Linked DNA regions of Anolis sagrei. The protein of the gene in region 1 interacts with the protein of each later gene in a biochemical or structural test. Links are inferred from orthologs where the notes say so. Each region holds a gene or a part of one and is shown in the gene's direction. Other genes may lie near its edges. The genes, in order: PTEN, PDGFRB, NHERF2 and MEX3C.

Region 1 (6,871 bases):
TTAGTCCCCATGCCAATCATTCCTGGATGCCAGAGGTTGTACAATCACCATGTCTTTCATCCCTGGGTGCCAAGGGTTCATTTAATCCCCATACTATGCAGTTCTGGGTGAGAAGGGCCATGGAATCCTAATGCTATGTTTTCTTACGTGCCGGGTGATGTGCAATCCCCACCCACAAGGTATCCAGGGTCATGCTTTGCATCTCTGGACACTAAGGCATTGTGCAATCCTGATAGAATCACAGGTGCCAGGGGCCATGTAATCTGCATGCTCTGTATCCCTGGGTGCCAAGGGTTGTGCAATTCCAGGACCATCCCAGGTACCAGGGTTTGTGTAAACTTCATACCACGCATCCCTGGGGGGCTAAGGGATCAACCCCTATCCCATGCAACCTTGGGTACCAAAGGGTGGTATAATCCCCATACTGTGCAGCCCTAGGTCCCAGAGTTATGTCATTTCCATGCCACCCTGGGAGCTAGGGGTGGTGCAATCTCCATAGTATTCAGCCCTAGTAGGTACCATTGGGTTGTGCAATCTTCAGGCCACCCTGGGTACCAAGGGGCGCAACAATCCTCATGCTATGTACCCTTGGGGTCATCTCTCTTTTTAAATGTTTTTTTAAATTTAGTACAAACTAGTAGAACATAACCATTTTTTCTCGTGAGGAAGTTTAGAAGATAATATAGGTGACTTAAATAGTATATATATTTTTAACAATTTAACAAAAAGTAGATTAAAAATTCTATATTTAATAGCTCTTGTCCCCTACATGTATCCATCTCTTTTCCACTATTTCCCTTATTTTCCTCTGGGAACAGTCCTGCATTTCCTTTATCATTTATTCTATTCAGACAGCACAGTGTGACAAAGACAAGGACAGACAGACTGAAGGATAGCTTTTATCCTAGACCTGTGGCTATATTGAACTCAGTGGTTTTGCACCGATGTAGCATTGAAGGCTGTGTGGAGGTGGTGTGTTGTTTTGTGGTGCGTACAGGGGAAGGCATGTCATTTTGTTGTGCAATAGCGCAATGACAAATAAAGCTAGTCTATTCTGTAATCTCCATGCCATGCCATCCTAGTTACCAAGTCTCCACAATGCGTTGTAGGTTTTTCGGGCTATATGGCCATGTTCTAGAAGCATTCTCTCCTGACGTTTCGCCTGCATCTATGGTAGGCATCCTCACAGGTTGTGGATGACATCACAACCTCTGAGGATGCTTGCTAGAAATGCAGGCGAAACGTCAGGAGAGAATGCTTCTAGAACATGGCCATATAGCCCGTAAAACCTACAACAACCCAGTGATTCTGGCCGTGAAAGCCTTCGACAATACAATCTCCACAATCCTCATGCTATGTATCCATGGGGCTGTGCAATCCCCATGATGTGCATCCTTTGAGTGCCACATCCTGGAACAACAACAACAACACTTTATTTATATATCGCTCTATCTCCCCAAGGGGACTCAGAACGGTTTCCAAGTAACATAATCAATACATACAAGAAAAAAAGGCATAAACATAAAATTAACAAAACAGTATAAGCATTAAAACCACAATAGCACATATATTTAAAATAATCATGTCTGATCAAGGCAGTTTAAAAGGCCAGGCCAGGCTAATGTGATTTAGTCTATGGCTGTACATGTCTATGGCTATACATTTCCAGGGCCTAACAGAAGAGAGTGACCTGGGTAATTGGCAGAAGAAGATATGGCCAATTTCAACAGTATCTGGGGCAGAGCAAGAACTAGTCATTCTCAAAGGTTTGTTTAAACCACCAGGTCTTCAGGCTCTTACGAAAAGAGGGGAGTGATGGGGCCTGTCTTATTTCCCCAGGAAGGGTGTTCCAGAGGTGAGGGGCCACCACCGAGAAGGCCCTCTCTCTCGTCCCCACCAACTGTGCTTGTGACGGTGGTGGGAGCGAATGGAGGGCCTCCCCCGGAAGATCTTAAAGTTTGCGCCGGCTCATATGCAATCACAAAGACCCAACAGGAAGCAGTTCTGATTCTTGGTTGTTGTAGTTTTTTCTGGCTATATGGCCATGTTCTAGAAGCATTCTCTCCTGACGTTTCGCCTGCATCTATGGCAAGCATCCTCAGAGGTTGTGAGGTATGAGAGCATGGGCAAAGATTTATTTATTTATTTATTTATTTGGGGTGCTTCTACCCCTTCTCAACCCCCTAGGGCAGTAGTTCTCAACGTGGGGTCCCCAGATGTTTTTGGCCTTCAACTCCCAGAAATCCTAACAGCTGGTAAACTGGCTGGGATTTCTGGGAGTTGTAGGCCAAAAACATCTGGGGACCCCAGGTTGAGAACCATTGCTCTAGGGGGAACTCAGGGCGGCTTACAAAAGGCACAATTCGATGCCCAACAATTCACAAAATAAATATACAAAATTACAATATAGCGTCAACAGTTATAACTAGTTAAAACAATCAAGACGGTACAATAGCAGCAATAAAATCATCTTGTGGTCAATGTTCGCCAATTCATAAATCGGTAATCCATCTAACATCGTCATTGTCCTTTCCTACTCTGGTCATCATTGTCTTTGTCCATCTGCCAGCTTACCCAAAAGCCTGGTCCCACATATAGATTTTTAGCTTCCTTCTGAAAGAGAGGAGGGATGTTGATGACCTAATCTCCCTGGGGAGTGCATTCCATAGGCGAGGGGCCACCACCGAGAAGGCCCTGTCCCTCGTCCCCACCAGTCTCACTTGTGATAATGGTAGGGCCTAGAGCAGGGCCTCCCCAGAGATTCTCTTTGCCCACTGGTGCAAGGTCTCAACCCCAGACTGGACAGCCTAACCAGGGATTGCAACCAGGACAACAAAAGCCAATGTGAAAGGGTGGCTGCTAGGCCAATGCATCAATAAGCCTTGCAAGGAGGCTCTTGGGGACCAAAGGCACCTCCTGCTGCAAAAAAAAAGGGCCATTGCAAGGGGTGTACAATAGAAAAGGCTGTGATACTGATGCAAGCCCTCCCTTGGAAAGAAGTGGGGCAGAAGCAGCCTCAGCTCAGGAGGCGGAGGAGCGGGAAGTGCCCCCTCCCTTTCCTCTGCTTTACACCCGTCACGTGACTCCGGGGGGAATTAGCCCGTCATTGGGATGAGGCAATCGCCTGTGGGATATCCTTCCGCCGCTTCCGAACGTGTCCCTCTCTCTCTCTCTACGCCTGCGCTCCTCTTCTTCTTTTCCAGTCTAGGAGCAATCGCCCTTCTCGGCTTGAATCTGCTTTTGATGAAGGAAGGAAGAACGGAAAGAAAGGAACGGAAAGAAAGGAAGGAAAAGTCGGAGGAAGAGATTTGGAGGCGGTGATGTGGCGGCGGACTCCTTTTTCCTCCAGCGGCGGAGGGAGCTCACCAAGAGCGGAGTGATGCGTTCCCGCTGACTTTTTTTCCCCCTCCTCCTCCCCCTCCCCTCTCTCTTTCGGCGCTGTTCCTTTTTCTCCCTCCCCCTCCCCTCCTTTTCTCCCCCCCTCCCTTTGCTTCCTTTTTCCCTCTCGCTCTGCCTCTCTTTCGGAAGCTGCAGCCATGATGGTTGGCTGGCGCAAGCGAGGCTGCAAGTGAGCCTTGAAGGAGAAGAAAGTCAGGAAAAGGAAGAAAGGAAAAGAAGAAGAAGAAAAAAAAGGGGGGTGTCAGCGATTGAAGGAACAGCCGCTCTCTTGGAGACAAGGAGGGAGGGGGGAGGGAGGAGGGAGGAGGAGGAGGAGAGAAAAAAATCGGCTCGGCTCTTCTACGCGTGCGCGGCAGAAGGCAAAGAAGAAGGAAGGAAAGGGAAGGAAAGGAAGGCGACCCAACCGCCGCGCAGAGGAATGAGGCGAGGAGGCCGCCTTCCCCTCAGGACCTGAGAGGGCTATTTTATTGATTTTTTAATTCTGTTTCTCGGGCCCGCCCGCCTCCTTTTTCGTCCTTTTTTGTTTTTGCGTTTCCCGCTTTCGGAAAGCAAGGGAAGGAGCAACCTGCCTGCCCGCCCGCTCGGGCGGGTGGGGAAAAGCGGGCGAAGCTGCTGCCGTCGCCGGTCCTCCTGGAGCCCCGCCGCCGCTCGAGCCCGCGGGAGAGAGGAGGAGGAGGGAGCCTCGGCGGCGGCGGCGGCGGCTCCTCCTCAGTCTCCTCGGCCTCCTCCTCGCCTCAGGAAGCGACGCTCTCGCCGCCGCTGGGCCAGGCCGCGTCCGGGCCTTCGCCTGAAGAAGAAGAAGGAGGAGGAGGAGAAGCAGCAGCAGCCGCCTTACCGTCATCGTCTCCACCTTCTTCTTCGAGCCGCTCCGTGAGCAGCAGCAGCAGTCGCCGCCGCCGCCGTCCTCCTCACCGTTGGCGGGCCGAAGCGGGAGGGGGCCAGCCTCCCCCTCCTCCGCCTCCTCTGCCTCTTCCTCCTCCGCCGAGGCTCCGCGCCCTCTGCGCCCTGCAGCCGCCGCCGTGCTTGTCCGCCCTGTTCCTCAGCGGCTCCCGGCTCCCAGACATGACCGCCATCATCAAAGAGATCGTCAGCAGGAACAAAAGGAGATACCAGGAGGATGGCTTCGATCTAGACCTGACCTGTATCCCTCCCGTGGGTCGCCTTCGCTTGGATTGCGCCTTCGCCTCCTTTAGGGCCCTTCCACACAGCTGCCTTGAATTGGATTGCAGGGCAGTGTGGGCTCAGAGAATCCGGTTCAGATCCCCCTTCCATACAGCTGAGCAAAATCCCACATTTTCTGCTTTGAGATGGGATATATGGAAATGTGGATTCAGCTAACACAGGGCCCTTCCACACAGCCCTATATCCCAGAACATCAAGGCAGAAAATCCCACATTTTCTGCATTGAACTGAAATATATGGCTGTGTGGACTCAGCCCAGCTCAAAGCAGATATTGTGGGATTTTCTGCCTTGATATTCTGGAATATAGGGCTGTGTGGAAGAGCTCTGAGTATACTCAGATAATTTGGGATTTTCTGCCTTTATATTCAGGGATACAGAGCTGTGTGGAAGGGCCCTCAGTTAGAGTTATGGCAGTGTGGACTTGGACAACCCAGGGCCCTTCCACACAGCCCTATATCCCAGAACATCAAGGCAGAAAATCCCACATTATCTGAGTGTGGACTCAGGGCTCTTCCACACAGCTGAATAAAATCCTACATTTTCTGCTTTGAACTGGAATATATGGCTGTGTGGACTCAGCCCAGTTCAAAGCAGATATTGTGGGATTTTCTGCCTTGATATTCGGGGATATAGAGCTGTGTGGAAGGGCCCTGGATTAGGGTTATGACAGTGTGAACTCGGACAACCCAGATCCCTTCCACACAGCCCTATATCCCAGAACATCAAGGCAGAAAATCCCACATTATCTGAGTGGACTCAGGGCCCTTCCACACAACTGAATAAAATCCCACATTTTCTGCATTGAACTGGAATATATGGCTGTGTGGAGTCAGATTGGCCAGTTCAAAGCAGATATTGTGGGATTTTCTGCCTTGATATTCTGGAATATAGGACTGTGTGGAAGAACTGAGTACACTCAGTTATTTGGGATTTTCTGCCTTGATATTCTGGAATATAGGGCTGCGTGGAAGAGCTCTGAGTACACTCACATAATTTGGGATTTTCTGCCTTGATATTCGGGGATATAGAGCTGTGTGGAAGTGCCCTGGGTTAGGCTTATGGCAGTGTGGACTCCGACAACCCAGGGCCCTTCCACACAGCCCTATATCCCAGAACATCAAGGCAGAAAATCCCACATTATCTGAGTGTGGACTCGGGGCCATTCCACAGAGCTGAATAAAATCCCACATTTTCTTCATTGAACTGGAATATATTGCTGTGTGGACTCCGATAGCCCAGTTCAAAGCAGATATTGTGAGATTTTCTGCCTTGATATTCTGGAATATAGGACTGTGGAAGAACTCTGCGTACACTCTGATAATGTGGGATTTTCTGCCTTGATATTCTGGAATATAGAGCTGTGTGAAAGGGGCCTGGGTTAGGGTTATGGCAGTGTGGACTCATACAACCCAGGGCCCTTCCACACAGCCCTATATCCCAGAATATCAAGGCAGAAAATCCCACAATATCTGAGTGTAGACTCAGGGTCCTTCCGCACAGCTGTCTTGAATTGGATTATATGGCAGTGTGGGCTCAGATAACCCAGTTCAAAGCAGATATCGTGGAATTTCCTGCCTTGATATTTGGGGATATAGAGCTGTGTGGATGGGCCCTGGGTTAGGGTTATGGCAGTGTGGACTCAGATAACCCAGGGTCCTTCCACACAGCCCTATATCTCAGAATATCTGAGTGTGGACTCAGGCCTTTCCACACAGCTGAATAAAATCCCACATTACCTGCTATGAACTGGATTATATGGCAGTGTGGTCTCGAGAATCCAGTTCAGAGCAGATATTGTGGGCCCCTTCCATACAGCTGGACAAAATCCCACATTTTCTGCTTTGAGGTGGGATATATGGAAATGTGGTCTCAGCTAACCCAGGGGCCTTCCACACAGTCCTGTATCCCAGAACATCAAGGCAGAAAATCCCACATTATCTCAGTGTGGACTCGGGACCTTTCCACACAGCTGAATAAAATCCCATATTTTCTGCATTGAAATGGAATATATGGCTGTGTTGACTCAGATAACCCAGTTCAAAGCTGATATTGTGGGACTTTCTGCCTTGATATTCTGGGATATAGGGCTGTGTGGAAAGGCTCCCAGAATATCAAGACAGAATAATCCACAGTATTGGCTTTGATAATGTGGGATTTTATTCAGCTCTGTGGAAGGGCCCTGGATTATTTGAGTCCACACTGCCATATAATTGCAGTTCAATATGGATTTTATACAGTTGTGTGGAAGGGGCCCTTGTGAAACTTCACCTTCCTGAGGGAGGAGGGGCT
Region 2 (7,364 bases), on another chromosome or scaffold:
CCGACAGCAGTCACTCTGGCTGTGATCGAAAACCAGCCGGCAGTGGTGGCCGTTTTTTGTTTTGCTCTATTCCCGGGTGAAGATCGAATTTCAAGCCGCGGCTCCACCCGTTGCAGGGAGGGTGATACAGGCCGCAGTTCCAGCTGTGGCAAGCGGCTCGGCCTTTCTCCCGGGCTCTTCGACCCTCTGCAGGAAGCCTGAGGCTCAGGGTCTCTCTCCCCCTCAATTTGAAGGTGGTCGGTGAGGGGGGAACCCAGGATTCCTTCGGATTTAATTTGTGGTCTGAGCAGCTCAGCGTTTCTGCTGCCGACCACCATACCGGAACCGGAAAGGTTCCACTCGTATTGCAAGAAGAAAGCAGTGAATTCCTCAGAAAGTGTCTATGTATATTGTCAGAGCTAGGATGGGATTTGCTGTATGAAGCAAAACATGGTTGCACTCAAACTAGGTAGATTTATCTGGATGCAGTAAAAAAAAAAACCTTGGAAAAACAAAACATCCACCTTTGGTTAGCATAAAGTCTTCCTCCCTGAGTGTGATCTTCCATTGCCATTGTCTTTGTTGTTTATTCATTCAGTCGCTTCCAAGTCTTTGTGACCTCCTGGACCAGAGCTCCCTGTCAGCCATTGCCACCCCCAGCTCCTTCAAGGCCAAACCAGTTACTTCTTTTTTTAAAATATTTTTTATTGATTTTTCACATTTATTACATACTATTGCATTTTGTACATCAGCCTCTTTAACATGTTGTTTTATTGTTTTGCTTTGGCATTTCCCCCCCCCCCCCTTTCTCTTTTTTTCCTTTTTATCACCACAGTGCTCCCCTCCACCCGTCTCAAGCCACCATTCTTACATTTCATCTGTCCAAAATTTCATTTCTTCTTGTGATGGTAATTTTCCTTCCTTATTTTTTAATCCATTTACCACAAATCTTCCCCATACAGCATCAAAATCGCTTTGTTTCCATGTACCTTTTTAAACCTTTAATATACATGTCAATTTATCATTTATTGCTATTTTCCATGCTTCTTTATACCACTCCTCTATTTGTATATTCATTTCTTTTTTCCAATTCCTTGCTATGAGCAGTCTTGCTATAGTTAGTAAGTTTGTTATCGCTTCTTTATCTTCCTTTTTCAATTGCTTATTGTTATATAATGATAGTAAGGCTATACTAGGACTTTTATCTATTTTCATATTCATTATAGTTTCTATTTCTCTAAATACTTTCTCCCAAAAATTATTTACATATTTACATTGCCACCACATGTGTATATATGTTCCTGGTTCTTGACACCCTCTCCAACAATTTATTGAGTTATTTTTATTCATATATGCTATTCTTACCGGTGTCAAGTACCACTTCCATATTAACTTGTAATAATTTTCTTTAACTCGTATCGATAATTTTTTAAAATGTCTTTGTCCCCATAACTGTTGCCACTCTGTTTCACTTATTTTCATCCCTAAATCCTCTTCCCAAATCTCAAGGGTACACTTTTTTATTTTTTCATCCTTCATTTCAATTAGTATCTTATAAATTTTGCTAATTATACCTCTCAAGTTTTCATGTTCTTCTACAGCCCTTCCAAACCAGTTACTTCAAGGATATCAACCATCCATCTTGCTCTTGGTTGGTCCCTCTTCCTTTTTCCTTTCATTTCCCCCAGCATCGTTATCTTCCATTGTCATTACTCAAACCAAAGGGAGGCACTTCTTCCAGAGAAATCTTTGTCTCCCATGTGGGCAACAAAGTTCCTCATTTGTTTTTTGAAATCAGTTCTATACGTCCCCAGGTTTGATAAATAAGCTGCTTACCTTAATAATATCTCAAACATGGAGTAAAATGTCTAAAAGATCACAAAAGGGATCCCTGAAAAAACTTTAAAGCAGTTCATACATTCCCTCAAGCAGTAATACTTCCTTCATCTGTAATACAAAATAAAGGACTTTGTGACCTTCCCTCCCCCCCTCCCTCAAAATGTGACACTTAGATTCCAAATCCAGGGGGCAGCAAAGGTGTCACAGCTATGGTTTTGTTGTGGATTCCACTGAGATTTGTCAAATGCAAACACAATAAATGCATATCATATTGAAGCGAAGTTGTGGTACTGGTTTTCATTTTAGAAGTTTTCTTTAACTTTTCAAATAGGGCAGTACCGTGGGATCTTAATATAAGCCGAGGTTTGCTTCCAGGGCCCATGTGGATTTCCAAACTGATGGATAACCCAGTCCCATTATATATAATGGCATAGTAAAAAAAAAAGTGTTCCTTATATAAAATGGTAAAATGAAGGTTGGCTTTGGGTTTTCTTTTAAATTTCAAGCTGTGGGTGGCTGACTCAGTGGGTAATGAGGGTCAACTGTTCACCATACCTGTTCCAGGCATAACAAAGCTCAGCCCTCCAGGTGTTTTGGACTTCAAGTCCCACAATTCCTAAGAGCTGGTATACTGGCCGGGATTTCTGGGAGTTGACATCCAAAACACCTGGATGGTTGAAGTTTGCCCATGCCAATTTAGAACAAGTTCTTTAGGACTGGTTAGATTCAAGATCACTGTGTGTCAAACACAAGGCTCCTGGGTCAAATCCAGGCTGCAGAGTCATTTTATGTGGCCTGTAAGGCATTCAATGCCAGGGCAACACTGTTACATGTATAGTCTTGAGATTACAACCAACCCTTTGAAGGCGGCCTTATGGCTGATGTGGCCCTTGGTGAAAATGGGTTAGACGCCCCTGCTCTAGTTACATCTAGACTACAACTCCCACCCAGCCTAGCCAATGATGAAAGGTGATGGGAGTTGCAGTCAAAAGAAATTCAAGGGAGCCAATGCTGCCCATTGCTCCATATAAACGCTCAAGTGGAAGAGGGGCCTGGCCTCCTCCTTGGGGTTTTGCTTTGCACTTCTTCTGCAGAACTAAGATTTCCTTTGGAGGGGATTCAGCCCGCGAGTGGCCTGTTATGTTCCTTGGGCCTCGCAGCTGGGCTGGAGACAGAGCCTGCTCACGCCCTCCTCCTGCCGAAGGGAAACGGGCAAGGCCGAGGCGCAACGCACACCCCCGTCCCACTCGGGCCTGTCCACCCTGCCATTGTTCCCAAAAGAAAGGCGCTGGTAAACAGCGGCTCCGCCCAGCAGACGAAGCTCCTCGGAGTCAGCCAGTCACCCTCCTCCTCCTCCTCCTCCTCCTCCTCCCTGGCGATAAGGCCTCCAGTGGCAGGACCCCCAGCCGCCCTCCTGCTTTGCCCCTTGGCGTTTCCCCGGGTGTCAAGGAGGGGGCCGCGGGGCTTTGGATCCGCGGCGTGGATGGAAGGCCCCGGCCTCCTTTCTTTAATAAAAACATGAGTCAGCGCCTGGCGTGGGCAGCGGATTCTCGGCACATCCCCTCATATCCTGGGAAAGGGGAGAAGGCAGGCAGGCAGATTGGCTGGCAGGGAGGAGGGGAAAGGAGAAAGAAAGCAAGAGGGGAAAGCAGGCGCCTTCTCACACACACACACGGGGGGGAGGGGGGGCAGCCGCCCCGAGGGGAAACGTCTTGGCCAAACTTTGGGTTCCTCTTGTATTTGTTTGGCTGAGTCTGAAGGAAGGAAGGAAGGAAGGAAGGAAGGAAGGAAGGGAGAGAGGGGAAAGAGGGAAGGAAGGGGAAGGAACGGAGTAAAAAGGAGGGAAGGGAAGGAAGGAAAGGAGGGGTAGGAAGAAAGGAAAGAAGGAAGGAAGGAAAAAGGGAAAGAAAGGGAAGGGAGGGGAAGAAAGGAAGGGAGGGAGGGGAAGGGAAGAAAGGGAGGGAGGGGAAGTAAAGAAGTAAGGAAGGAAGGAAGGAAAAAGGGAAGGAAGGGGAAGGGAGGGAGGGAGGGGAAGGATGGGGCAGGAAGGGAAGGAAGGAAGGAAGGAAGGAAGGAAGGAAGGAAGGAAGGAAGGAAGGAGGAAGGAAGGAAGGAGCTGGGTTTTTCAAGGGAGCTCTCCTTCATCCCCGCCCCCCGCCCCCAAGTCTGGGTGTTTGGGGCTTCCTCAGAACTTCCCCCAATGGAAACCAACAAAGGGCCAAGAGGCCAGCTTTCTTTTCTCTGTCCCCAAATTGTCCAAACAAATGTTGGAGCCGAGCAGGGTTTCAAAAGAGAAGCCGCTCTCCATCCGTGCGCTCGGGGCGCCGTGGCAGGCGAGGGAAGGGCTGCTGCTGCTGCTCCTGCTGCCGCTGAGCCCAAAGATGCGGAGCGCGTGCTCGGAGGGGGCGCGAGAAGGCCGGGCTGACTGCCTCGGGAGGCAGCGGGAGACCCCTTCCTGGCTTCCTCCCCTCCTTGCCTGCCTCCCCGCCCCCTTTGGCCCTCCGCCCCGCCTCCCGCCTCCCTCCCCCCCCCCTCTCTGGGCCGGGAGCAGGAGGCAAGCGCCCGGCTGGCTCCCTCCTCCTCCTCCTCCTGAGTTTGGAAAGGGCTGCCCAGCTGAGCTGAAGTCCAGGCTGGTGGGGCTTGCCTCCGGAGACACTTCCGAGGGAGCCGGGCGAAGGAGCCTCGCGGAAGCCCAGGGCGCCCTGTGGGGCCAAGCGGTGCCCCCTCCCTAGTGTGGGAGAGCCAGGTAAGCCCCCTCCGGTCCCCTTTGCTTTTCCAGCCGGAGAGCCAGAGCTGCAAATGGAAACTCTTTTGAACAAATCCAGATGTGGAGAGCGCGAGCCCGCAGCGCCCTTCCTTTTCCAGGGCAGCTTCCAAGAGGCGAAACCTGGCCACTTTCCTTTGCCTGCACGCCTTTGGACCTTCCTTCGGGCTTGTTTGGGGGGCTTTGGCTCCCTCGCGCCCCTTTCCTAAAGGCGCCGCATGGTGAAGGGGCTACAAGAGCTTTGGCTGGGTCTGGGGCCGGTTCTGAAGGGACTTGCCCAAGCTCTCTTGATGTTATAGCCGAATAGAGCTGGACTGGGGCTTCCTCTCCCTGCCTTGCCACCCTTGCTTCTGAAATGGCCCTCCAAGAAGCCAGGGGAGCGTTGATACCAAGGGATGGTCCCGAGCATCCTCTAGGCTCCGGAAAAGATCAGGAGGAGGAGGCTGGGCAGGCAGCCTGTGGCTTCTGGCAAGGGCTGGAGAGGAAGAGCCTGGCATCTCCCTCTAGAGACCATGGGCATCATAACCCAGCACCTCTAGGGGGTGAGGGAGGGCTGTTTTTGACCGATTATTGAACAGGTAACACTCATCATCCTGGTATGGGAGAACAGCTTTCTAAAGCACAAAACTTCAGAGCTACTAAAGAAACCCCATCTTCATCAGAAAGGCTACTTTCACACAGTCACAATGGTTGGGTTGCTGTGAGTTTTCCAGGCTGTATGACCATGTTCCAGGAGCATTCTCTCCTGACGTTTCACCCACATCTATGGCAGGCATCCTCAGAAGTTGTGATGTCTGTTCGAAACTAGGCAATTGGGGTTTAGATATCTGTGGGATGTCCAGGATGGGAGAAAGAACTCTTGTCTGTTTGAGGCAAGTGTGAGTGCTGCAATTGGCCATCTTGATTAGCATTCAATAGCCTTGCAGGTTCAATGCTTGGGTGGTTGCTGCCTGGGGGAATCCTTTGTTGGGAGGTGTTAGCTGCCCCTTATAGATTCATGTCCAGAATTCCTCTGTTTTCTGAGTGGTGTTCTTTATTTACTGTCCTGATGTTAGAGTTTTTTAAAAATACTAGTAGCCAGATTTTGTTCATTTTCATGGTTTTTAATCACACAATTTCCAACAGACAAGAGTTCTTTCTCCCACCCTGAATGTTCCACAGATATATAAACCCCAATTTCTTAGTTTCCAAAAGACCTCACAACCTCTGAGCATAGATGTGGGTGAAACATCAGGAGACAATGCTTCTGGAACATGGCCATCCAGACTGGAAAACTCACAGCAATCCAGTGATTCCAGCCATGAAAACCTTCGACAATACATTGAACAGGGGTTGTTCAGTCTTATCCATCAATGCTGCTGGTCACATAATATACATTGGAAATGCAGGAAGCTACTCAATACTACAGTTGCACTACAGTTGGCTATCTGTATCCATGGATTCTTTATCCTCAGATTCCATCTTGAATAGCTTGAAAATATTTTTAAAATTTCAAAAGCAAACCTTGGTTTACCATTTTATATAAGGGACACCATTGTACCATGCCACTGTATATCATGGGACATGAGCATCCATGGATTTTGGTACCCAAATGGAGTTCTGGAAGCAATCCCCAGCAGATACCAAGGACTCACTGTATTTGTCTGCCTAAGTAGCTGTCCAGAGTCTGAGGCTCAGGTTTTTCAAACTACCTGCAGCCTGATCCTCCTTTCTTCTTTCTATTCTTTTAGGGGAGTGGGGTGAGCTCCTGTCTGTCAGCCCCAGCTTGTCATGTGGGCACATGAGAGAAGCCTCCCACAGGATGGTAAAACACACATTAATGTTTCTCACAGCATGAAAGCTATATCCATTGTACAATAAGAGACATTGGCTACTGTTGCCATACTTTGTGTCTCTTTTTCCAGACCCAAACTACCAGAGGAAGTACTGCTGTAACAAAGTGGTTAAGAAAAAAAAAAAAAGCTATCTGCCAGGAACCTTCAGTTTGATTCTCTACTCAACTGTCATCTCACTGGACAGTTTCGCCTTTTATGCCAGGTCCACACTGTCATATTGCAACAGCAATATTGCCTCAGTTTACTATGGTAGTTATTGTTTACTTAGGTTGCTATGGTGATCATTGAGCTAAACTGCTAAAGCATGTTATATGCATTAAGAACCTAAAGCACTGATGAGCTCTCGGCATCCTCCATGTCATTCTTGAGGATGTTGTTGCCCTTGACTCCTGTGCACTTAGAATCATAGAGCTGGAAGAGACCTTGTGGCCCATCCAGTCCAACCCCCTGCCAAGAAGTAGGAAAATCTTATTCAAAGTACCCCTGACAGATAGCCATCAAGCCTCCGTTTAAAATAAGGAGCCTCCACCACACTCTGGGGCAAGGAGTTCCGTGGCTGAATAGCTCTCCAATTAGGAAGCTCTTCCTAATGTTCAGGTGGAATCTTCTTTCCTGTAATTTGAAGACATTGTTCCACGTACTAGTCTCCAGGGCAGCAGAAAACAAGCCTCCCCATGACGTCCCCTCACATGTTTATACATGGCCATCACGTTTTCTCTCGGCCTTCTCTTCTGCAGGCTTAACATGCCCAGCTCTTTAAGCCACTCCTCATAGGGCTTGTTCTCCAGACCCTTGATTATTTTAGTCGCCCTCCTCTGGACACATTCCAGCTTGTCAACATCTCCCTTTAATTGCAGTGCCCAGAATTGGACACATTATTCCAGGTGTGGTCTGACCAAGGCACAATAGAGGGGCAACATGACTTCCCTGGATCTAGACACTAAATT
Region 3 (7,797 bases), on another chromosome or scaffold:
TATATAAAATGTGACCCAGAGACAGCAAAGTCTCCATAACCTATCAAAGATAATCCCCTAAGAACATGAAGGATGGGCAAACCCCTCTGGCTGTTTCCCAAGCCAGGCAATCACCAGACCAATTGTTTATGTTTACGCAGAGATAGGTGACTTCCCATGCCAGCTCAGATAAACCCAAAACTATCTAGATAGATGATTCCCTTGAAGCTGAGAGATTGTTTCCTGTGGAAACAGAAGCAAAGAGTATGTGTGTTTGTTAATTCTCTTTCTTGACAGACAAGCCCTGATCATCACCTTTTGTTTAAGGAGTCTCACACCTTTGTTTTCGGAAGCTCTTATCTTTGTCTGCTATCAAACTGGACAGTTGAGCGAATCAAAAGCTCATTAACATTTCCTTGGTATTGTCTTCACAGATTATGTATCCTCCCAGGGGGGTGTTACATCAAATGATTAGTCCTTCACCGGCCTATCCCCGACCTTCATTTCCCTACCAAAGTGGCAGCATCAGTAGAGCCTCCAGCCAATCGGGGTATGGATCCTTACCAGTCCCCTTTTTGACCAATTAGAGGAGGGAGTGGGAGTTTTGAATAGCTGTTAAACTGTATAAGATATCTTGCTTTTCTCTGTGTGTTATGCTTGCACTTTTTGAAGCATCTTGCTTGTACTTGCATCCCTTTTGGCCTAATTGAATTAAACCTCTGTGGCTTGTCTTCATCCTGGTGAGTTGTTTCCCTGTCCTGACCCATTCGGTTTAGAATATGCTTACCAGGCACGGACCCTCTTATCAGTGGTCCTAGTTTAACCACTACACAAATAGGAAATTGAGCATGTTTTGGAGAAATTACAGGAAGTCACTTTGGGGCTCTTTTTTAGCTGCTTTGGGGCTCTTTTTTAGAGACATAAAGCAGGATAGAAACAACAACAATAGCAACAACAACAGCCTAGAATTGTGCATTCTAATTACTCCATGATCAAGGGTAAGTGAATCTGAAGATATGGGTTCTGCCGTTAAGGGTGGTCTTACTATAGTTCTTAAAAGTTTAGCTTCAGCAGCAAACTATATTTCCTAAGAGTTGTTTAGACTTCCATCCAGCCAGACTTCTATCTGGCTGGCTAACTTTTAAATGGAGATTTGCTGGAGTTTATCATGGTTGAATCAGCAGATGGCAGCATTGGATCAATTTTGGCCAGGCTTCGGCAGCCTTGCATTGGAAAGCTCTCTGCAGTATATTGAAGATCCAATGTCTTGTTCTTATTCCAGTTATATCACCGCACAGCACAGTCTTGCCATACGGTGCAACCCTCTTGGTAGTAATTAATGTGTCTCTGTGTCTGGTTTGTAAAGTAAAAGGCAGAAAAACCAGAGGAAGACCTGAATGGACTCCATCAAGAGAGCCCTGAGTTTGGAAGGGCGGAATAATATTAGGATCTATTGGAGGTCTCTCATTCATAAAGTAAACCATAAGCTGAAGCTGGTTAATGTATTATTATTTACTGCAAAGAGTCTAAATACCTTCAAGGCACCAGATTCTGCCTCAGCTTGGATGCTAAGCAGGGCCAGCCCTGGATGGCATTTGGATGGGAGACTGCCAATATAGATCTAAGTGCTATACGCAATATTTCACAGAAAGGAACTAGCAAAGAAAGGCCTAAATCCTCTAAAGGCACCAGATCCCAACTGACTGTGAATGCTAAGCAGGGTCAGCCCTGGTTGGTTCCTGGATGGGAGATCGCCAATGTATATCTAAGTGCTATAGGTAATATTTCCAAGAAAAAAGACTACCTAAATCCCCTAAAGGCACCAGATCCCAACCAATTGTAGATGCTAAGCAGGGTCAGCCCTGGTTGGTACTTGGATGGGAGATCACCAATGTATATCTAAATGCTATAGGTAATATTTCAAAGGAAGGAACTACCTAAATCCTCTAAAGGGACCCAATCCCAACCAATTGTGGATGCTAAGCAGGGTCAGCCCTGGTTGATACTTGGATGGGAGGCCGCTAATGTATATCTAAGAGCTATAGGAAATATTTCAAAGTAAGGAACTAACTAAATCCCCTAAAGGCACCAGATCCCAACCAATTGTAGATGCTAAGCAGGGTCAGCCCTGGTTGGTACTTGGATGGGAGATCGCCAATGTATATCTAAATGTTATAGGTAATATTTCAAAGGAAGGAACTACCTAAATCCTCTAAAGGGACCCAATCCCAACCAATTGTGGATGCTAAGCAGGGTCAGCCCTGGTTGATACTTGGATGGGAGGCCGCTAATGTATATCTAAGAGCTATAGGAAATATTTCAAAGTAAGGAACTAACTAAATCCCCTAAAGGCACCAGATCCCAACCAATTGTAGATGCTAAGCAGGGTCAGCCCTGGTTGGTACTTGGATGGGAGGCCGCCAATGTATATCTAAGTGCTATAGGCAGCATTTCATAGGAAGGAACTAGCAAAGAAAGGCCTAAATCCTGGATCTCAACTGATTGTGAATGCTAAGCAGGGCCAGTTTTGGATGATACTTGGATGGGAGGACACCAATGAATACCATAGGAAAAACCATGTCAAAGTTTTCCTTGCATAAGAAAACCCGGAAATCCATAAGCCTGGCAGTATGATGGCAATGGGAAGAAAGGGGAGCCTACGCTGCATTGCTTCTTTGAGAACAAATCCTTCCTTCAAAGCACTCCTCTCGCATTGTATGACAGCAAGGGGTCAAAGCACTCAGCTCCTGAATCCTCCATAATGGAGGCTGTGGGCGGAATAAAGCACCTGGAACACACCGCTCTTTAGGCCTCCGGAATGAGACCGCTGTGCAGGGTGTGCAGAACGGCAGGAGACTTTTCTTCAAAAGCTTTAATGTGTTGTTCTTGCCATTTGCGAACAAAAGAGCAGCAAAATGATTGAAGGGGGTGGATTCTGAAACACCTTCGCTCCCCTGAAAACATCCAAGGTTTCCTGCCAGTTCTAAGTTCCAATGTCACTCGTGCAAGGAAAGAGAAATATGGAGAAACAGGGGACTTGAATCTTGGGACCCTAGCATTGGAAGGGGCCTCTAAAGGCCATCCAGATGAGTGTGAACTCCAATCTTTGCTTACTTCTTGCTCAGAAATACCCATTATTTGCATGCTGGGTAGAAAGGGGCTTGAGTATCGATATGCAGCTACACTGCAGAATTAATGCAGTTTGATGCCACTTGAACTGACCTAGTTCAGTGCTATGGAATCCTGGGAGTTGGAGTTTTGCCTTCCCTGCCAAAAGATGCGCTTTGTGCCTCCCCAAAGTGGCTTGAATGTTACAATCCCCATTTGGTTGCACAAGGTGGTTATGTTTGTTTTTAAGCTTTGGGAAAATAGGAAGGAAGGAAGGTAGAGAGAAGTGAAGGAAGGAAGAGATGGGAGAGAGAAGGAGGCAAGAGAAAGAAGGGTAGGAGGGAAGGGAAAAGGTGGAAAGGAAGGTAGAAAGAAAGAATACAGAGAATGAATGAAAGTTAGAAAGAAGGAAATTTAAGAGCTTCAGAGTAAGAGAAGTGTAGAAAGAAAGAAGGGGGTAGGAAGGAAGGAAAAGAGAAGTGGAGAAGAGGAAGGAAGGTAGAAAGAAGCAAAGAGAGAAAGGAAGAAAGGATAATAGAAAGAAGGAAGAAAGATGGGAAGAAATGAAGAAAGACAGAAAGGATGGAAGACAGAAATAAGTGAAGACAGAAAGAAAAGAAGGAAGATAGAGAGAAGTGAAGAGAGAAAGAAATGAAGATAGAAAGAAACAAAAAGAGAAAGGAAGGAAGAGAGCTTCTTTTTGGGAGGCTTTTAAGCAAAGGCTGGATGACCATCTGTCAGGGGTGCTTTGAATGTGATTTTTCGGCTTCTTGGCAGGGGGTTGGACTGGATGGCCCATGAAGTCTCTTCCAACTCTATGATTCTAAGGAAGGTAGAAAGAAATGAAGAAAGAGAGAAAAGAAGAAAGGAAGGAAGATGGAAAGTAGCGCAGAAAGAGAGAAAGAAAGGAAGATAGGAAGGAAGATAGAGAGAAATAAAGAGGGAAAGGAAGGAAGATAGAAAGAAAAACGTGAAGAGAAAAAGGATGGAAAATATGAATAAGTGAAGAGAAAAAGGAAGGAAGGAAGATAGAAATAAGTAAAGAAAGAGAGAAAGGGAGGAAGGGAGGTAGAAAAGAAAGGAAGAAAAGATGGAAGGAAGGAAGGAAAGAAAGAAGGTAGAAAAGAAAGGAAGAAAAGAAGGAAGGAAAGAAAAGAGGTAGAAAATAAAGAAGGAAAAGGAAGGAAGGAAAGGAGGTAGAAAAGAAAGGGAGGGAGGGAGGTAGAAAAGAAAGGAAGGATGGGTGGAAGGAAGGAAAGGAGGCAGAAAAGAAAGGAAGAAAAGACGGAAGGAAGGAAGGAAAGGAGGTAGAAAAGAAAGGAAGAAAAGAAGGAAGGAAGGAAGGAAGGAAGGAAAAGAGGCAGAAAAGAAAGAAGGAAAAGAAGGATGGAAGGAAAGGAAGGAAGGAAAGAAAGGAGGTAGAAAAGAAAGGAAGGAAACAAGGAAAGAAAGAAAAGAGGCAGAAAATAAAGAACGAAAAGAAGGAAGGAAGGGAGGTAGAAAAGAAAGGAAGGATGGATGGAAGGAAGGAAAGGAAGGAAGGAAAGGAGGCAGAAAAGAAAGGAAGGATGGAAAATCCAGAGTATCTGAGAGGGAGAAAGAAAGAGAGAGAAGATAGAGAGAAACAACGGAAGGAAGGAGGAAGAGGAGAGAAAGGGGACGCCCCCTCCTCTTTCTCTGAGCCCCCCTTCCTTTTTCCCAACCTCTGGAAGGTTCCGGTGGATGAAGGAAGGAGGGAAGGAGCAAGGAGAGCGAGAGAGAGCGAGAGAGAGAGAGCGAGCGAGCGGGGAAGGGGCGGGGCGGCCTTGTTGTCCTTCCTCCTCCTCCTCCTCCCCCTCCCCTTCGTGGCCATGATCCGCACCGGGGCTCGGGTCCCTCTCTAGCCTGGCTCCGTCCGGCAGCCGCTTCCTCCCGCCCGCCCGCCCGCCGCGGCCATGGCCAAGGAGCAAGGCGGCGCCGCCTCGGCCTCGGCGGGCTCTCCGCCGTCCTCGCCGCCCGCCTCCTCGTCCTCGTCCTCGGGGCCCCCCGTCCCGCGCCTCTGCCCCATGCGCAAGGGCCCCTCCGGCTACGGCTTCCACCTCCACGGGGAGAAGGGCAAGAGCGGGCAGTTCATCCGGCAGGTCGAGCCCGGCTCCCCCGCCGAGGCCGCCGGGCTGCGGGCCGGAGACAGGCTGGTCCAGGTCAACGGGCACAACGTGGAGAAGGAGACCCACCACCAGGTCAGAAGGAGGGAGAGGGCGGGCGGGGTGGGGGGGGGGGGAAGAGCAAAGACGGGGCTCTCCCTGCCTGCCTGCCTTTCTCAGGCATGGGCCAACTTCGGCCCTCCAGGTGTTTTGGACTGCAACTCCCACCATTCCAAAGAGGGCAAACTACAACTCCCAGGGCCCAATCATATTGAGCCAGGAGGCAGTTCAAGCGCTAAACTGCAACCATTCCACAGTGTGGACCAGGCATGGGCCAACTTCGGCCCTCCAGGTGTTTTGGATTTCAACTCCTACAATTCCTAACAGCCACAGGCTCTTTCCTTTTCCGCTTAAGCGGCCGAGGGGGGAAAGAAAGGGGCCTGAGGCTGTTGGGAATTGTGGGAGTTGAAGTCCAAAACACCTGGAGGGCCAAAGTTGGCCCATGCCTGGGGTATCTATCTATGTATCTCTCTCTCTCTCTCTGTGTATCTCTCTCTCTGTTTCTGTCTCTCTGTATCTATCTTCTATCTATCCCTTTCTATCTTTCTCTCGTCTGTCTGTCTGTCTGTCTGTCTCTCTCTCTCTCTATCTTCCTCTGTCTATGTATCTATCACCTATCTCTTTCAATCTTTCTCTGTATCTATTTGTGTATCTCTGTGTCTACAATATCGATCATCAATCAATCAATCTTTCCATCTTTCCGTCTACATGTGTGTGTCTCTCTTTCTATGTCTATCTATCTATCTATCTATCTATCTATCATCTATCTCTTTCTATCTCTTTCTATCTTTCTCTGTATCTATCTATCATCTATCTCTTTCTATTTTTCTCTGTATCTGTGTGTCTCTATCTATTTCTGTGTATCTCTCTCTCTCTGTCTCTCTCTCTCTCTCTGTGTGTATCATCTATCTATCTCTTTCTATCTTTCTATCTGTCTGTCTCTCTCTTTCTATCTCTGTGTATCTATCATCTATCTCTTTCTATTTTTCTCTGTATCTGTGTGTCTTTCTTTCTATCCTTTTCTATCTCTCTCTTTTTATCTGTCTATCTCTCTATCTATTTGTGTATCTCTCTATCTATCTGTGTATCATCTGTCTCTTTCTGTCTTTCTGTCTGTGTCTCTATCTATTATCTATCTATCTCTTTCTATTTCTCTCTCTACCTATCTATATGTGTCCCTCTTTCTATCTCTGTGTAACTCTCTCTGTGTCTATCACTCTCTCTGTCACTCTCTCTCTTTCTTTTCATCTATCTATATCTATCTATCTATCTATCTATCTATCTATCTCTGTCTGTGTACCTTGCTCTCTGTCTCTGTTTAACTCTTTCTCTATCTATCTATCTATCTATCTGTGTATCTCTTTCTCTTTGGCCACTTCTACACAGTTGTATAAAATCCACATTGAATTGGGTTATATGGCAGTGAGGACTCAGATAACCCAGTTCAAAGCAGACATTGTGGATTATCTGCCGTGATATTCTGGGTTATATGGCTGTGTGGAAGCCCCTTCTCCATATCTCTATCTTTGTGGTGTATCTCTATCTATCTATCTATCTATCTATCTGTGTATATCTCTCTCTCTCTCTCTCTCTCTCTCTCTGTATCTCTATTTGTCTATCTCTGTGTATCTCTCTTTTTCTCTATGGCTGGATCTACTCTGTCATATAATCCAGATTATCAAATCAGAAAATCCACATTATTTGCTTTGAAGTGCATTATATGAGTCTCCAGTTCAAAGCAGATAATCTGGATTTTATATGGGGCCCAAATCTGTGTATCCATCCTCTATCTATCTATCGATCCCTCTATCAATCTATCAATCTATCTATCTACCTATCTATATATCTCGTATCTCTTTGTGTATCTGTGTATATATCTCTCTGTATCTATCTATCAATCTGTGCATCTATCTATTTTTCTATCTATGTATCTATCAGTGTATCTCTATGTATCGATCTTTGTATCTATCAATCTGTTTATCTATCTGTGTATCTCTATCTGTATCTCTCTCTCTCTTGATCGATCTATGTATATCTATCTATCTATCTATCTTTCTATCTGTCTTCTAAATGTTCATTACACTAACCAGCCATTTGTGTGGAGGGTTCACATGGGGTCTTCCTGCCCTGCCAAAGGAGGTCGGACTGGAGGGCCTTCAGAGTCCCCTTCCAATTCTAGCATCCTATGATCCTATGACCCTATTTCTCCATATCTATCTATCTGTCTGTCTGTCTGTCTGTCTGTAAATGTCTATGTATGGGGCAGGTTCCAATCTCTCTCCTGCAGCTAGAGACCATTCACCATCATTTTTTAGCAAGGAAAAAGAAATATCGAGACATTGAGCAATAGAATCATAAGGTCCTAGAGCTGGAAGGGGCCTGTAAGGCCATCCAGTCCAACCCCATTCTATTAAACAGGAAGGCTGTCAGCATCCAAGCCCTCCCCACAGATGGCCATTTAGCTTCATGGACATTTGTGGAGAAACAGGGCAGTTGAATCATAGGGTCCTAGAAATGGAAGGGGCCT
Region 4 (7,945 bases), on another chromosome or scaffold:
CGAATGGAGGGCGAAAGAGAGAAACGTGCCAAGAGGAAGGCGTGTCAAGCCAACCCTGACCGGGACCGCCTTTCACCTGGAAACTGATGCCCTCACTGTGGGAGAACATGCAGGTCAAGAATAGGGCACCACAGTCACCTACGTACGTACCCATCACCAGTCCACTGAACTTGGAGGACAATCTTATTCAGACAATGAGGGATCGCCTAAGTAGTAAGTAAATGAGGGACAGTGAACTGGCCCCCTATTTTAAAAATTTGAGGACCCCTGGTGTATGCACTTTCAAGTTGCCTGCTAACTTATAGGAACAACACAAATTTCATAGGAATTTCTCAGGAAAGGAATATACTCAGAGGCACCTCTGCCAGTTCCTTCCCTTGAAATATAACCTACAGTACCTTGTATCCAGTCCAAGTACTAACCAGGGCTGAGCATTTAGCTTCCAAGATCAAGTGGATACTTAGACAAACAATATTACAACATAGGTAACATTAAAACATTGCCTTGTCACATTACGTTAAAGTTACATTACACCAAAATGAAAATACGCCACCCAGTAAACAACACATTATTCCTTCTTTCCACCACTTTATTCCTTAAATTAGCAGCCTTGGAATGCAAAGAGAGCAACCCATGGGACACAGAAGGGTTTAAACTACTCCATAACAATGTGAGTTTGTTTTTCACAGACCAATTTCTCCTGCAAGTCAGAAAGGGGCACAGATAATGGTCTGTAGAGCTTGAACATAAATGGTACTCAAGTAGATTATATGCCAGACAAGGTTAATAAAAAATTAATGTGGGCCAGTAACTTTTGGGGATTCAACTTGCTAATTTGCACCAAGTGACATACATACATACACCGTGCTCTTATTCCAAACCAGGAATATTCTTGACCAGGAGAATAGGTTCCTCTGCCTGTCAGAGGCAAAAAAAATCATTTATTTAAATAATCATTGGAGATCAAGGCTTTCTGAATAATAGCAGGTTGTATGAACTACTCTTTGGGACACCATCAGGGATCGTGACACCAATTTTTGTGAAGTTTCAGTAGAAAATTATTATCTATATAAATAAAAATGTAATGTTCGTTTGTGGGATTAACCAAACTCAAAAACCACTGGATGAATTGACACCAAATTTGGACACAAGACACCTAACAACCCAATGTATGTCCTTCACTCAAAAGAAAAATTATTTTGTCATTTGGGAGTTGTAGTTGCTGGGATTTATAGTTCACCTATAATCAAAGAGCATTCTGAACCCCACCAATGAGGGAATTGAACCAAACTTGACACACAGTTCTCCCATGACCAACAGAAAATACTGGAAGGGTTTGGTGGGCAGTGTCCTTTGGTTTTGGAGTTGTAGTTCACCTATATCCAGAGATCACTGTGGACTCAAACAATGATGGGTCTAGAACAAACTCTACACAAAGACTCAATATGCCCAAATGTGAATACTGGTGGAGTTTGGAGGAAATAAAATCTTGACATTGGGAGTTGTAGTTGCTGGGATTTATAGTTCACCTACAATCACACAGCATTCTGAACCCCACCAACGATAGAATTAGGCCAAACCTCCCACACAGAACCCCCATGTGGGCCACAGCAATGCGTGGCAGGGGACAGCTAGTTTCATATAAATATTCCTGGTTTGGAATAAGAACATTGTGTATGTATGTATGTCACTTGGTGCAAATTAGCAAATTGAATCCACAAAAGTTAGATATAACCTCATCCTTACCTGTACTGTGTCGATATACCTGCAAGGTTAAAACTCTATACTGATTGACTTTTTGAGTCTTCAGGTGTGCCTGCACTCCAGTCAGAGATGTCATTATTACTCAAGCACAATGACACTGTCAATCACATTGTTTCATCGGCACATCCTACAAGCACACACCATTGTTTTCATTGCTGCTGTTAATTTTATAGTCATCGAATTTGTCAAATTTTCTGGTAGTTTAGCAACAATATTGTGACGCAGAAGGAAGTCCATCGGGGTCACATGCCTTAGTCACATCCCACCTGGACTACTGCAGCGCTGTCTGTGTGGGGCTGCCTTTGAAGACTGTTTGGAAGCTTCAACTGGTTCAGGGATCGGCAGCCATATTACTAACTGTAGTACCGTACAGGTAGTGGACAACTCCACTGGCTGCCAGTCTGCTGACAGGCTAAATACAAAGTGCTGGTCATTACCTATAAAGCCCTAAACTGTTTGGGCCCAGATTACCTGAAAAACCACATCTCCGTGTACAAACCAGCACAAGCACTACGGTCTGCAGAGGAGGCCCTCCTCTTGGTCCCATTAAAAATTGCCCCCTCTCTGCTCTCCTTTTAAAAGCTTTTTATAACACATCTATGCACTTTAGCCTATGGAGAGGACTAATTACACCTTATATACACCTCCACCTTGTTTTGAACATCTACCTTATTAATCTGCTGTATACCATCTTAACTACAATATTTTTTGTTGAATTTTAGGAGTTTTTTCAAAGTGACCATCACTCAGAAAAGCACTAGAAAACACAGTGGAAGGGACTTAAAAACCCAAAAAACAAAAAATACATTACAACGCATGCACAAAAACCACATATATAAACAAACACACATTTATACACACACATATATGCATATATACATACACAAAACACAGACGGGGCCACAGCAATGTGTGGCAGGGGGTGGCTAGTATATATATATATATATATATGTATGCAATGTTTGTTTGTGGGGTTAACATAACTCAAAAACCACTGGATGAATTGGCACCAAATTTGGACACAATTACACCTCTCAGGCCAACGAGTGACCACTCATCAAAACACTGAAAAACACAATGGAAGGGACTTAAAAGGCAAAAACAAAAATTACATTACACCGCATGTGCAAAACCACACATATATGCATATATATACACATACACACATATATACAGACACATATATATGCATATATACACACAGAAAATACATATACATAGACTGGATCACAGCAATGCATGGCAGGGGACGGCTAGTGTGTGTGTGTGTGTATATCTTTCCCTTCCTTCCTTCTCACCCTTTCCCTTGCCTTCTGTTGTGTGTGTGTGTGTATGTATACCTTCCCCTTCTTTCCTTCCTTCCTTCCTTCCTTCTTCCTCACCCTTTCCCTCTTCCTATCCTTTGTGTGAGTGTCTCTCTCTCTCTCTCTCTCTCTCTCTCTATATATATATATATACATCTTTCCCTTCTTTCCTTCCTTCCTCCTCACCTTTACCCTCTTCCTATCCTTTGTGTGTATGTGTGTATATATCTCTCTTCCCCTTCTTTCCTTCCTTCCTTCTTACTCTTTCCCTCTTCCTATTCTCTTTGTGTGTGTGTGTGTATCTTCCTCTTCTTTCTTTCCTTCCTCCTCACCCTTTCCCTTTCCCTCTTCCTATCCTTTGTGTATGTGTGTATATGTATGTATATATATATGTGTATGCATGTATGTATGTGTATATATGTGTGTATGTATGTATGTGTGTGTATATATATATATATATATATATATATATTCCCCTTCTTTCCTTCCTTCCTTCCTCTTTCCCTCTTCCTATTCTTTGTGTGTGTATGTATATATATATATTTCTTTCCTTTCTTCCCACCCTTTCTCTCTTCCTATTCTCTTTGTGTGTATATATGTTCCCCTTCTCTCCTTCCTTCCTTCCTCACTCTTTCCCTTGCCACCTTCCTATTCTCTTTGTGTGTGTATATCTTCCCCTTCTTTCCTTCCTTCCTCTTCACTCTTTTCCTTGCCACCTTCCTATTCTCTTTGTGTGTATATATGTTCCCCTTCTTTCCTTCCTTCCTTCCTTCCTCTTCACTCTTTTCCTTGCCACCTTCCTATTCTCTTTGTGTGTATATATGTTCCCCTTCTTTCCTTCCTTCCTTCCTTCCTCTTCACCCTTTCCCTTGCCACCTTCCTATTCTCTTTGTGTGTGTATATCTTCCCCTTCTTTCTTTCCTTCCTCTTCACTCTTTTCCTTGCCACCTTCCTATTCTCTTTGTGTGTATATATGTTCCCCTTCTTTTCTTCCTTCCTCTTCACTCTTTTCCTTGCCACCTTCCTATTCTCTTTGTGTGTATATATGTTCCCCTTCTCTCCTTCCTTCCTTCCTCACTCTTTCCCTTGCCACCTTCCTATTCTCTTTGTGTGTGTATATCTTCCCCTTCTTTCCTTCCTTCCTTCTCAACCTTTCCCTTGCCACCTTCCTATTTTCTTTGTGTGTGTATCTTCCCCTTCTTTCCTTTCTTCCCACCCTTTCTCTCTTCCTATTCTCTTTGTGTGTATATATGTTCCCCTTCTCTCCTTCCTTCCTTCCTTCCTCACTCTTTCCCTTGCCACCTTCCTATTCTCTTTGTGTGTGTGTGTGTATATATATATATATGTATATATATATCTTCCCCTTCTTTCCTTCCTTCCTCCTCACCCTTTCCCTTGCCACTTTCCTATTCTCTTCTTTCCTTCCTTCCTCCTTACTCTTTCCCTCTTCCTATTCTCTTTGTGTGTGTGTGTGTGTATCTTCGTCTTCTTTTCTCCCTTCCTCATGTGTATATATATGTATATGTATATATATATATAATCTTCACCTCCCCTTCCTTCCTTCCTTCCTTCTTTCCTTCCTTCTCACTCTTTCCCTTGCCACCTTCCTATTCTCTTTGTGTGTGTGTGTATATCTTCCCCTTCTTTCTTTCTTTCTTTCTTTCCTCCCTCCTCTCTTTGGCCCTCATCCCGCCCTCTCCTCTCCTCCGGGGCAGGCCTGGGTGCCCTTTCCCCCTTTCCCGGCGGTGGCCTGTCTCCACCCCGTCACAATCCCCGCCGGGCCAACCCAACAATCCTGCCCCGGCCGGGGTCTCGGGAGTGGGTTTTGGCCGCGGCGAGAGGGCGGGCAGAGGCAGGGAAGCAACGAGGCGGCGGCGGGCGTGGCGCGTGGATGCGGTCGGCCGAGGAGGAGGAGGCGGAGGAAGAGGCGGAGGAGGAGGCGGGGCTGGATCCGCCATCGCCACCGCCGCCTTCTTCCCCTTCTTCTTCTTCCCGAGGAGCCGGAGAGGGAGAGAAAGAGCCGGAGCAGGAGGAGGAGGGACAGGAGGAGCAGGAGGAGGGCGAGGGGGAGCGGGCGGCGCTGCTGCCATGGAACAAAGGGAGGCGCGCTGAGGGCGGCGAGGAAGGCCCTGGCGGCAGCAGCGACGGCGACGAGGAGGAGGCGGAGGAGGAGGAAGAAGAAGGAGCAGGAGCAGCACCGAGAGGGGAGCCGCCGTCGCCATGTCGTCGCCGCCGCCGCCTCCTCCGAGGGCCTGACCGGCCTCCGCCTTCCTCGCCGCCACCTCCTCCTCCTCCGCCGCCTCCGTGGGGCCTAGCCGAGCTGCCCTGGGCGGCCATGCCGAGCGGCAGCGCCTCGCCTTCGCCTCAGGAGGAGGAAGCGCCGCCGCCGCCCTCAGGAGACATGGTCCTCCTCCTGCCCTCCTCGTCCTCCTCCACGACTAGGCCGCAGAGCCTGTACTCCCAGGAGGCGCTCTTCCTGAGGGAGCGCCTGGCCTGCTTGGGCCTGAGGGAGGCCTCCGCGCCACCGCTCTTTCCTGAGGAAGAAGACGGCGACGAGGAGGAGGACGAAGACGAAGAAGACGGCGAGGAGGAGGAGGAAGAGGAGGCCGCGCCCCCGCCTGAAGGCCTGGACCTCGATTTGGAAGAGAACGCCGAGGAGGAGGGAGAGGGAGGGCAGGCGTCGCTGCTGCTCCTGCCCCGCGCCGTGCTCCTCCCGCCGCCCTTCGAGGCGGCCCCCGCGGCCTCCACAAGCGGAGGAGGAGGGGGAATAGGAGGAGGCCTGCTCTACGCGCCCGGCGAGGACGGGGTGCCCCCCGCTGTGGTGGCCGCCATGCTCTCCCAGGCTTACGGGCCTCCGCCGCCACAGCCAGGAGTGGGAGCAGCAGGAGTAGGGGGAGTGGCGGCTCCCGGAGGAGGCGGCGGCGGAGGCGGGCCGGCCCTCAACGGCGGAGAGGCGGCGGCGGCGGCGCTGCTGCGGAGGAAGAGCGTCAACACCACCGAGTGCGTCCCCGTGCCCAGCTCCGAGCATGTGGCCGAGATCGTGGGGCGGCAGGGTGAGTCGCCAGCCAGGCAGCTGGAAGGCCTTTCCTTCCAGACACCTCCTCCTCCAACGTTCATGGAAACTAGGCCCAGTCAGTGTCTTTCCCCTTCCCATGGATAACAAGGCCCAATCAGCCCAACCCACAACCTCCCTTTCCCTCACTCCCACTCTTCTGCTTCCTCCTCCATTCAAAACACAACTGTCTGTTTCCCTACTCCTTTGGACCCATCTACCCTTTCAAAACAAGGCCACAACTGTCCGTTTCCTCCCTTCCATTTCTCTTCTTCCTCCTCCATTCATGGAAGCAAGGCCCAGCCAGCTCAAGACACAACTGTCCGTTTCCTCCCTCTCACTCCCCTTCCTCCCACATTCATGGAAACTAGGCCCAGCCAGCCCAACATACAACTGTCCATTTCCCTTGGACCCATCTATGAAAACAAGGACCCAACTGTCTTATTTCCTCCCTTCCACTCCTCTTCTTCCTTCTCTATCATGGAAACAAGGTCCAGCCAGCTCAAGACACAACTGTCCATTTCCTCCTTTCCACTCCTCTTCCATCATGAAAACAAGGCCCAGCCAGCTCAAGACACAACTGTCAGTTTCCCTCGTCTCTTGGACCCATCTTCCCCTTGAAAACAAGGCCACAACTGTCAATTTCCTCCTTTCCACTCCACTTCTTCCTCCTCCATGGAAGCAAGGCCCAGCCAGCTCAAGACTGGCTGGATCCACCGTCCCTTTGAGAACAAGGCCCCAACTGTCCATTTCCACTCTTCCACTTCTCTTCTTCCTCCTCCATTCATGGAAACAAGGCCCAGCCAGTTCAAAACACAACTGTCCATTTCCTCCTTTCCACTCCTCTTCTTCCTCTTCCATCATGGAAACAAGGCCCAGCCAGTTCAAAACACAACTGTCCATTTCCGCCCTTCCATTTCTCTTCTTCCTCCTCCATTCATGGAAACAAGGCCCAGCCAGTTCAAGACACAACTGTCCATTTCCGCCCTTCCATTTCTCTTCTTCCTCCTCCATTCATGGAAACAAGGCCCAGCCAGTTCAAAACACAACTGTCCATTTCCGCCCTTCCACTCCTCTTCTCCCTCCTCCATTCATGGAAACAAGGCCCAGCCAGTTCAAAACACCTGTCCATTTCCTCCTTTCCACTCGCCTTCCATCATGGAAACAAGTCCCAGCCAGCTCAAGACACAACTGTCCATTTCCCTACTCCCTTGGACCCACCTCTCCTTTGAGAACAAGGCCACAACTGTCCCATTTCCTCCCTTCCATTTCTCTTCCTCCTCCTCCATTCATGGAAGCAAGGCCCAGCCAGCTCAAGACACAACTGTCCATTTCCCTGTCCCTTGGACCCATATTCCCTTTCAAAACAAGGCCACAACTGTCCATTTCCTACCTCCCACTTCTCTTCTTCCTTCTCCATTCATGGAAGCAAGGCCCAGCCAGCTCAACACACAACTGTACATTTCGTCGTTTCCACCCCTCTTCTTCCTCTTCCATCATGGAAACAAGGCCCAGCCAGCTGAACATACAACTGTCCATTTCCCTCATCCCTTGGACCCATCTTCCCTTTCAAATCAAGGCACTGTCCATTTCCTACCTCCCACTTCTCTTCTTCCTTCTCCATTCATGGAAGCAAGGCCCAGCCACTCAAGACACAACTGTCCATTTCCTCCTTTATACTCCGCTTCTTCCTCCTCCATTCATGGAAACAAGGCCCAGCCAGCTCAACATACAACTATCCATTTCCTCCTTTCCTCTCCACCTTTTCCTCCTCCATTCATGGAAGCAAGGCTCAGCCAGCTCAACACACAACTGTCCATTTCCT

Evidence for each region.
Region 2: the proteins of PTEN (region 1) and PDGFRB form a complex in vitro, tested with the Homo sapiens proteins (2 studies listed by BioGRID and IntAct, with this or other methods). The link is inferred for Anolis sagrei from reciprocal best matches to the Homo sapiens genes PTEN and PDGFRB.
Region 3: the proteins of PTEN (region 1) and NHERF2 form a complex in vitro, tested with the Homo sapiens proteins (2 studies listed by BioGRID and IntAct, with this or other methods). The link is inferred for Anolis sagrei from reciprocal best matches to the Homo sapiens genes PTEN and NHERF2.
Region 4: of the proteins of PTEN (region 1) and MEX3C, one has a biochemical effect on the other in vitro, tested with the Homo sapiens proteins (2 studies listed by BioGRID). The link is inferred for Anolis sagrei from reciprocal best matches to the Homo sapiens genes PTEN and MEX3C.

Annotation. Positions count from the first base shown.
Region 1 is NC_090023.1:182,601,343-182,608,213, forward strand, and holds the start of PTEN (phosphatidylinositol 3,4,5-trisphosphate 3-phosphatase and dual-specificity protein phosphatase PTEN), read left to right. Parts: upstream 1-3,871; 5' UTR 3,872-4,461; coding exon 4,462-4,540; intron 4,541-6,871. UniProt on the Homo sapiens protein: Dual-specificity protein phosphatase, dephosphorylating tyrosine-, serine- and threonine-phosphorylated proteins.
Region 2 is NC_090022.1:85,965,638-85,973,001, forward strand, and holds the start of PDGFRB (platelet-derived growth factor receptor beta), read left to right. Parts: upstream 1-4,347; 5' UTR 4,348-4,564; intron 4,565-7,364. UniProt on the Homo sapiens protein: Tyrosine-protein kinase that acts as a cell-surface receptor for homodimeric PDGFB and PDGFD and for heterodimers formed by PDGFA and PDGFB, and plays an essential role in the regulation of embryonic development, cell proliferation, survival, differentiation, chemotaxis and migration.
Region 3 is NC_090034.1:20,931,695-20,939,491, forward strand, and holds the start of NHERF2 (Na(+)/H(+) exchange regulatory cofactor NHE-RF2), read left to right. Parts: upstream 1-4,793; 5' UTR 4,794-5,021; coding exon 5,022-5,306; intron 5,307-7,797.
Region 4 is NC_090022.1:286,899,338-286,907,282, forward strand, and holds the start of MEX3C (RNA-binding E3 ubiquitin-protein ligase MEX3C), read left to right. Parts: upstream 1-4,944; 5' UTR 4,945-4,959; coding exon 4,960-6,121; intron 6,122-7,945. UniProt on the Homo sapiens protein: E3 ubiquitin ligase responsible for the post-transcriptional regulation of common HLA-A allotypes. Binds to the 3' UTR of HLA-A2 mRNA, and regulates its levels by promoting mRNA decay.